Cricetulus griseus: one gene and its partner. The protein of the gene in region 2 purifies or fractionates together with the protein of the main gene of each other region. This does not show direct contact. Links are inferred from orthologs where the notes say so. Each region holds a gene or a part of one and is shown on either strand. Other genes may lie near its edges. The genes, in order: Dnajc7 and Pld2.

Evidence for each region.
Region 1: the proteins of Pld2 (region 2) and Dnajc7 purify together in Homo sapiens (affinity purification with mass spectrometry; 3 studies listed by BioGRID and IntAct, counting the BioPlex papers as one, with this or other methods). This does not show direct contact. The link is inferred for Cricetulus griseus from reciprocal best matches to the Homo sapiens genes PLD2 and DNAJC7.

Annotation. Positions count from the first base shown.
Region 1 is NC_048600.1:113,667,785-113,672,266, forward strand, and holds the start of Dnajc7 (dnaJ homolog subfamily C member 7), read right to left. Parts: upstream 2,838-4,482; 5' UTR 2,757-2,837; coding exon 2,680-2,756; intron 1-2,679. UniProt on the Homo sapiens protein: Acts as a co-chaperone regulating the molecular chaperones HSP70 and HSP90 in folding of steroid receptors, such as the glucocorticoid receptor and the progesterone receptor.
Region 2 is NC_048600.1:84,350,967-84,355,436, forward strand, and holds the start of Pld2 (phospholipase D2), read left to right. Parts: upstream 1-1,407; 5' UTR 1,408-1,600; intron 1,601-1,796; 5' UTR 1,797-1,797; coding exon 1,798-1,906; intron 1,907-1,996; coding exon 1,997-2,127; intron 2,128-2,140; exon of another isoform or gene 2,141-2,238; coding exon 2,239-2,381; exon of another isoform or gene 2,382-2,403; intron 2,404-2,649; exon of another isoform or gene 2,650-2,762; coding exon 2,763-2,868; intron 2,869-2,955; coding exon 2,956-3,021; intron 3,022-3,364; coding exon 3,365-3,423; intron 3,424-3,476; exon of another isoform or gene 3,477-3,538; coding exon 3,539-3,631; exon of another isoform or gene 3,632-3,656; intron 3,657-3,720; coding exon 3,721-3,873; intron 3,874-4,303; exon of another isoform or gene 4,304-4,379; intron 4,380-4,470.

The DNA of each region.
Region 1 (4,482 bases), about 29 Mb from region 2:
ATCAGTTTCAGCAGGCTTAAAATTTGAACTCCATAAATATATATAACATGTCTGTTTAAGGAAACATCTTTCGGGCTGGAGAGATGGTCAAGAGGTAAAGAGCACTGTCTGCTCTTCCAAAGGTACTGGGTTCAAATTCCCAGCAACCACACGTGGCTCACAACCATCTGTAATGGAATCTGGTGCCCTCTTCTGGCCTGCAGGCATACATGCAGGCAGAACACTATACACAATAAAATAAATCTTTAAAGAAAAACACATTTTTCACTTTTATTTTACAATTAAGTTGACTTGGTGGTATGTTGTGGAATATTACTTTAGTTATGTAAGATGTGTTGCTGTTTTACCTTGCCTGCCTAAGGTACCTAACTGGTCTAATAAAAAGCTGAATGGCCAATAGTCGTGCAGAAGAGGGATAGACAGGGCTGGCAGGCAGAGAATGAGTAGGTTGGAGAGAGAACGAGGGAGAAAGAGAGGAAGATGCCTAGGGCCAGCCAGCCAGCCAGCCACCAGTTAACCAAACATGGAATAGCAGGACACACAGAAGAAAGGTTAAAAGCCCTGAGGCAAAGTGTAGATGAAGAGAAACAGGTCAAATTAAGTTACAAGAGCTAGTGGGACAAGCATAAGATAAGCCGAGCATTCATAATTAATAATAAGTCTCCATGTCATGATTTGGGAGCTGGTTAGTAGCCTAAAAGAAAGCCTGCTACAGTGGTAGATAACTGTTTTACAATCAATGACAAACTAAATTCCACAAAAAAGGCAGTTAACCAAACACCATGGTTCACATGATGTTGTACCACCCACCCACCCACCCAACACACATCCACAAAAGAATCTTAACATGTAGCCCTGGCTAGCCTGTAGTTGTGTAGACCAGGCTTCCTTTGATCTTACAAACAGCCCGCTCGCCTCTGCCTCCCAAGTGCTGGATTAAAGTGAGCACCACCAGTCTGGCTTGTTTTGTTTTGAGACAGACTCTTACTTTAAAATCCAGAATGACAAGTTCTAGTTCTTTCTGCCTCAGTCCCCTAAGTGCAGGGATTACAGATGTGTGCCACCCCAGTCAGCCTTCAAATTTCTTGATAGGTCTCTCCGTATTCATTTACTACCATTTCATGACAAAACACTTTCTAAAGCTGTTTTGTTTCACTTTAAGGAGAGAATTTGCTTTAGAGAAGTGCAATCTAGCCAGGCATGATGGTGCACACCTTCGATCCCAGCACTTGGGTGGCAGGGGCAGATAGATCGATCTCTGTGAGTTCAAGGCTGGCTGGTCCGCACAGACCCCTGTCTAAAGTCCGAATGAGGGACACTCCCTATAGATTTACACCAAGTACAATATATTCCTTGAATGACATATGGCCAAAGTCCCTATTTACAACAGTGAGAAGCACCAAATTCTTCCTAAATCCAGGTAAAATAAGCTTAAGCTGCTTGTGTTAGCAAAGGGCTTCCCTTCTCATTTTGCAATTCCTTAAGAAAGGTATGAGCCGATGGTGCTTAACTCCAAACCACTGGAATGATGTGGAAACTCAAAACGAAGGAGACTAGACGGATATCTCAGGGATCAACTGCGCTTTGTCAAGCCTCTCAGCTTCCAACCCACACACTTGATAACTGCAATATTCCCTGCAGCTCCCCGAGTACCCTTTTGTATTTCTAACTTCGACAGCAAACACCTCAGAATCCTGGTTGGTAGATCTCCTGATCAGATTCTCTCATCATCTCAAATTATTCAGACTGAAAACATACCCCCACAGGCTTAGTACGAACATACGAAGCACATGGTTAGAAGACAGAGGGCACTGAAGTCCATTCTGAACAACAGATGGAATGAATCTGCAACTGATAAGGCAATCAGTTCACCTTTGGTATCAGAGCAAGTACGCCTGCTCTTAACTGTGTTCCAACCTCGCTTCAAAAACCTGTCCTTAGCTGGTGCCAGAATTCACAGTGTTCTTGAAAACCACTCACTCAGCAGCTCCCTAGGCTAGTCCAGACTGGCAATCATCTCGCGCTACTGCAGCTGCCCAGCAGTGCCAACTGCATCTAAACAGCTGTCCTCCCTGAGCTTAGGATCGCCTTGGGACGAGAGGTGAAGCAGCGTCTGACCCGTACAGTCTGAGACGAGGCCCTCATTCGTCCTTCTGCCTATCCGATTTTAATTTCTACGTCAATGGGGGGGGAGGGGGCGACCAGGTCAATACCTGGAGGCACACAATCTCCTCGGCCCCACACTAATGACCACTGGGTGTAATTACTGAGGGAAAGGAGGACAGACAACAATACGCACAAGTTCACCAGCGGAGCAGGCGGAGGCTGGGGCTATGTTAAGGAAGTCGTCATCGATGCCGCGACGCCTCCCCCACCCTGCAGCCGACCTCGGAGGTTCCACCCCGGCCTCCACAATGAGGACGACCTTCTTCCCGACGGCAGAACTAGGCCGTGCCTCAGCACCCCGCGAGGCGGAAGCAGCACAGGGGGAAAGGCGACCCCTGAGAACGTCCCTTCAGGGGGGGCCTATGTCGACTCCGGCTCAGATCGGGGAGGGGAGGGGGGGAGGCAATCTGCAGAAGGCTGGGTATCGTCTCCACATTCGGCGGCTGCCGCGTCGGCCTCCCCGGATTCACAAACCCCAAGCCCGCCTCCCCCGTTATCCTACCACCCGGTTACCTCTTTGCTTCTTCGTCCTCTAGCAGTTCAGGCTCGGTCCCCGCCATTACCACATCGCACTCCGCGGTAGCCGCCATCTTACCGCCGGGACCAGAGAGCCGGGTGGGAGGCAGGCGGTGAAGAGCACTTCCGGCCGGAGCATCGAGCCGCTCAGCAGCGCCGCGCCCAGAGGGACTACCTCGAGCCCGTCTACCAACGAGAGGCTCCGCTTGGGGCCAGAGCGGCCTCCCATCCCGGGAGGTCCACGGTGGTCTCCGCCCTGGGGCGGGGGCCCAGGGACGGCTCCTGTGCGTAGGGGGCGCCACTTTACTCGCGGATAGGAGGCCGGTACAGAAGGGTGTTGCCTCTCTAGGCCTCGGCTTGCCTCAGTATCCCGACAGCCTGGTTGCCATAACAACTTGCAAACCTAGAGAGTCTCCTCCGGTGAAGCCGCCGAGCCCCGGGTGGGTAGGTGGGTGGGTGGAGGTGGGTCACCCGAGACGGCTGCGGTGAGGAAGGCCTGTACGGCTACCTGCCGACCCTGGAGTGTGTCCACCGCGTCCTCCCCGCAAAGGCATAAAGAGCCGCTTTGAGCCCAGTGCCCCAGCTTTCATCGGCGGCTGGAAGCCCTGCCCAGCCAAGCGAGGGGAACGCAGGGCGTCTTCACCCTGCGCCTTTCATCCTCCACGGGTCTCCAAGCGCCTGCTGGTTCATCATCCCAATGACGCGGACCCTTTTATGAGGCCGCTTTCATGTCAACCGCTTGGGAGTGCCATCTCAGCGTTAAGTCTAGAGAGGATGACATGGCGCCCCAGCCCCTGCCTTGGAGTTTATAAGGCAGCTCATGGGGTGAGGTCCCCTTTCCTTAGTGTCCCCTGTACTCCTGCGTCTCATAAACTCTACCCAGCACACTTTGTCTGGCCAAATGCGGCCTGGATTGGGAAGACAGGCTAATCATTTTTTTTGTAGAACCACTACTACACCCAACAGTATGTGTGGAGTTGAATTAAATTGGGGGGGGGGGCTCTGAGGTTAAATGAGGCAGAGGAGATGACCTAGAGGTTGTGATTTTAAGACAAAAAGAATGAAAATAAGACAGTGGAATTTTAGGTGTCTATGCCCATTAAGGAAAACTGTATGAAGGCCCCTACCCTGTTTTGTAGATCCTTACTTATTCATTAGTGAGGGAATTGAAACCATAGGGTCCACTGGCTAGAAAATGAGAGCTGGAGCTCAGTGGACTGAGAGAGGTCATTCAGCCTTTACTTGCACTGTTGGTTGGGGGTGGGATGGCAAAAACCTCACCACCCACACTGCTTGCCAGTGGCTCACCTCACAGTACACAGTCTAATTCACAGACCAATTTTTTTAAAACTTTTTTCTAACTATCGTTTGTAGCTGAACTTATCTACTCTCCCAGCTTTAACTTCATCCCAACTTTCAATTCTTCCTGTTGCCTAGACATTTAAAAAAAAAAAGTGTGTGTGTGTGTGTGTGTGTGTGTGTGTGTGTGTGTGTGTGTGTGTGCATGTATCTTTGTGAGTGCATACCAGGTATGTGCAGGTGTCTGCAGAGGCCAGAAGAGGGTTTCAGATTCCCTGGAACTGGAGTTAACAGGTAGTTGTGAGCAGCTCGACACAGATGCTATGAACAGTGTCTTCTGGAACAGCAGCTAGTGCTCTTAGCCACCAACCCTTTTCCCCAGCCCCTTCCTAGACTTTTTCAGACTTCTACACTTCCATAACCAATTACCTATTATCTCTTAGGCATTTCAAAAATCCCCAGAGATTAACCTATTTGTTAATTTTTTTTGAGACAAGGTTT
Region 2 (4,470 bases):
GCTACACAGAGAAACCCTGTCTCAAACAAACAAACAAACAAACAAAAGAACAACAAACAAAAAGAAACCTGTCTTAAAAAAAAGAAAAAGAATGTAAAATAGAAGAGCCATTTTGAAAGGGGTTTTTATTTTCAACTTTTTCTTTGCTTTTATTTTGTGTATATGCATGTTTTGTGTGTGCAGCGTCTATGGAGGCAAGAAGAGGGCATTAGATCCCCTAAAACTGGAGTTACATCTATTTGTGAGCAGCCATATGGATGCTGGGAATCGAACTTAGGTCCTCAGCCAGTACCCTTAAGCACAGAACCATCTCTCCAGATCCTTTTTTGGGGGTGGGGGGTGGGGGTGCTTTTCTGTGAAGCTTCAGCAGGCCTCCACTCCCAAGCTTTACAGTCCTCTTGCCACATTCTCTTTGCTGCTGGGCTACAAACTGTCAAGCCCAAGCCCAGGTCTTGACAGTCTTCTATAAGTTAAACATACACTTATATGATCCAGTAATTCCACTCTAGTTATTTACCGAAGAGAAATGACTGGTACATAAATGTTTATGGGAGCTTTATTTCCCGAGGACGAAAACTAAAACAACTCAAATGTTTATCAGTGGAAATGTAGAAGAAAACAAAGAAGGAAGAGAGGGAGGGAGGGAGGGAATGAAAGAAGGAAGGGAAGACAGACTGATGACCTTTAGGATCTGAAAAAAAAAAAATGTTGTTTTAGACTGGAACTTACAAGTCAGCATGTTCTGGGCTGCTACCGTACCTCAATGTCTGGCTAATCTCTACTGAGCAATAAACGTTTAGTGAAAGAAGAATGAGACTTTTCATACTGCAACGAACTTGTAGTCACCATCCTTCTGGCTTTTTAATCTCTTCTTACCTCCCATCAACAAATGCTATCTGTACAGGGCTCAGCAAGGGGACACCAGCAGGTCCTCTCTCGCCACCGAGGCCAGTTCCGCCCAGATTCCAGGCAGCGCTGGAGACCAGACAACCCAAGGCCCGCGCGCGCGCAGTAGAGGAACGTGAGCAGGGTGGATCACACACTCGGGGATGCTGGACTTCCCAGCTCGGCACCCCCGAGGGCATCCAGCGGGAGAGGACGGCCCTGGGGAGGGGGCGGCCCCGGGAGTGGGCGGCCCCGGGAGTGGGCGGGCCGGGCTGGGCCGGGCCGGGGCGTCTATATCGCTGCGCCCGTAGAAGGCGGCGGGGGCGGGACGCGGCTGATGCGCCACCCGCGGAGGTGAGGCCCTGAGCCCCGGTCCCGCCCCGACCCTCTGGGGTGTGGGCTCCTCTCTGAGTTCTGCTCCCGGTGCTTGCGAACCCGCGCGGGTGCGGGCGCCCGCAGCCAGGGTGAGGGGCCGGGGACGTGGCGCGGCTGAGATCGGCGACGGGGTCCAGCTGGAGCTGCTCCGGCCTTCTGACTCAACCGCACACTCAGATTTCGGGATTTCTCTGCTGGGCGGGGAACGCGTCGTAACTTCCTCATTCCCGCCGGGACCCTCGCTTCCAGCCCGTCTGGCCTGACTTTGAGCCCAGCTGTCACCGGGATTCCTCCCTTGGACTTACCTCGCCCCAGTTCGAGGCTATCCCAGCTTGGCTAGGTGCTTCTTGGACCCTGAATACGGAATGAGAGGCAGGGCTGGGGGTTGCAGAGATGGGAGGCTAGAGGGGCGTCGGTCTGCAACTGTAGAAGTTGGGAGTCAGCTGAATGAGATGGGTGAGGGCCGGGGGCGTTAGGATAGGGAAGGGTGTTTCTGTATGGGCGAGTCCCTTCCTGAGGCTTCCTCATATTCCTAGGATGACTGCAACCCAGGAGAACCTCTTTCCCTATGGGGACTACCTGGACTCCAGCCAGTTGCACATGGAGCCAGATGAAGTTGACACTCTGAGGGAAGGAGAGGATCCAGGTACACAAGGAGATGGCCCCCACAGAGGGGAGGATAGGGATCTGGGTCTCCTGAGATCTACACCCTTGGGCTTTTTTTTTTCCCTCCCAGCTGATCGAATGCACCCCTTTCTGGCCATCTACGACCTTCAGCCCCTGAAAGTGCACCCCTTGGTGTTTGCCCCTGGTGTCCCGGTTACAGCCCAGGTGGTGGGCACTGAAAGATACACCAGTGGATCCAAGGTGGTTGGGCTGGTACCATGGAGGGTGGGAGAGGGAGGCCTGGCCAAAGTGGAGGGTTGGGTTGGGCCGGAAGACTCTGAAGACATGATTTTCAGATTTTTATACCCCCAGGTGGGAACCTGTACTCTATATTCTGTCCGCCTGACTCATGGTGACTTTACCTGGACAACCAAGAAGAAATTCCGACACTTTCAGGAGCTGCATCGGGACCTCCAGAGACACAAAGTCTTGATGAGTCTGCTCCCTTTGGCTCGGTGAGTGGGACTAGAGTGCTTCCTGTAAAAGGCAGACAGATAGTCCTCACCCCATGGCAGTCTTTACTCCTGTCTGCCTATCTCACCCCCAACCTACTGTAACCTTTTCTTCACAGCCATTTTCCTTCCCCCAGCTCTGTGCTGGACCCTGGTTCCCAAGAAACTTCCTCTGGTTCTCTTTGTCCATGGTACTATGCCAACATTTCAGCCAGGCTGGATGCCCAAAATGTCCTTGGCAACACCCCACCCCACTTGTCTCCACTCCCAGGATAGAGACCCTTTCTTCTGCCAGCCTTTCTCCCACTCCAAGGCCCTGTCTCCAGTGTTTCAGGCATCTAGCTTGCCAGCTCTTCCCTGAGCCTTCTCTTACCTCCTGTATAGCTTTGCTGTGGCCAGTTCTCCAGCCCGAGAGGCAGCCAATGAGGACATTCCCTCCCTACCCCGAGGAGGTTCTGAGGGCTCCACCAGACACACAGCCAGCAAGCAGGTATGACCTAACACCAGGTCCTGTAGCAAGGTGTTGTAGTATGCACAAGGCTCTGGCTACATCTGTTTCTTTCCCACCCCCATTCAGAAATACCTGGAAAATTACCTCAACCGCCTCCTGACTATGTCTTTCTATCGAAATTACCATGCCATGGTAAGGTCCAGTGTCTAGATGCCTGGGTGTATCTCTCTCTCTCTCTCTCTCTCTCTCTCTCTCTCTCTCTCTCTCTCTCTCTCTGTCCCTGTCTCTCTCTCTCTCCAGGGTCTTACTGTGTAACCCTGACTGGCCTGGAACTAACTACTGTAGACCAGGCTGGATTTGAATGGACAGAGATCTATCTGCCTCTGCCTCCCCAAGTGCTGGGAGTAAAAGCCTGTGCCATCATGTCCTAGGATGCCTGGGGTTTTTTAATTAGATGACGACAAAGGGGCAGAATAAGTAAGGCTAAGGGGCTAAAAAGCCAAGTCTCCTCCTGAGCTTATTTCTTCCTCTGCAGACAGAATTTCTAGAAGTCAGTCAACTTTCCTTTATCCCAGACCTCGGCTCCAAAGGACTGTGAGTGTGGGAATCCCCCGCCTAGCCTTCTGCAGACATCAGTCCCCATCTACCTGCTTGAAAAACATGTAGTATGAGTGCGTAGAGTCCCCAACTCTCCCGATTGTCCCTGTAGGGAAGGGGTGATCAGGAAGCGCTCAGGCGGGCATCGAGTTCCTGGCTTCACCTGCTGTGGCCGAGACCAAGTTTGTTATCGATGGTCCAAGAGGTGAGGGCTGGAATTGAGCAGGGGTCTGTGGGCAGGTGAAGAGGGAACTCTGGAGGACCTTGACAGTATACACAGCCCTTCCCCTCCAGATGGCTGGTGGTGAAGGACTCCTTCCTGTTGTACATGCGCCTGGAGACTGGCACCATCTCATTTGTTCAGCTTTTCGACCCTGGCTTTGAGGTGCAGGTGGGGAAAAGGAGCACAGAGGCTCGGTATGGGGTGAGGATCGACACCTCCCACAGGTAAGGCCTCCCTGGTGTGAGAGCCTTCTGTGACCTGAGGGGAGTTGAGCTGGAGACACCATGGGGGAGAGGAAAGCTTCTCAGTCCTCCATGTCCTGGTCCAGCCAGAGCTTTGAATCAGGGAACTAGTCTATCCATATATTTAGGATACTCCTAGAGTAAGGGCCTATAGTGCAGGGGTTTGGAGGCTAGAGAGAGAAGAGTGGATAGTGGTCTTGCAGAGGCCCCGAGTTCCGTTCCTTGCACCCACATTGGGTGGCTTATGCCCACCCATAACTGGAGCTTATGCCCACTGGTAACTCCAGCTCTAGTGAGGCTGATACCCTCTTCTGAATTCGGTGGGCATCTTCACTCACACCTGCACACACACATGCACACATGCACACTAAAGACATAAAAAAGAAAAGGAGCCGGGCATGGTAGTGCTTACCTGTAATCCTAGCCTTTGGGAGGCTGAGCCAGGAGGACTGGCTCTGTAGAACCGGAGCTCTATAGTGAAACTCTGCCTTAAAAAGAAGAGTGAGAGAGAAGAGGAAGGAAGGGAGGGAGAAAAGGGAAGGAAATTAAACTCCATTTGTTCATTCAACAATAACAATA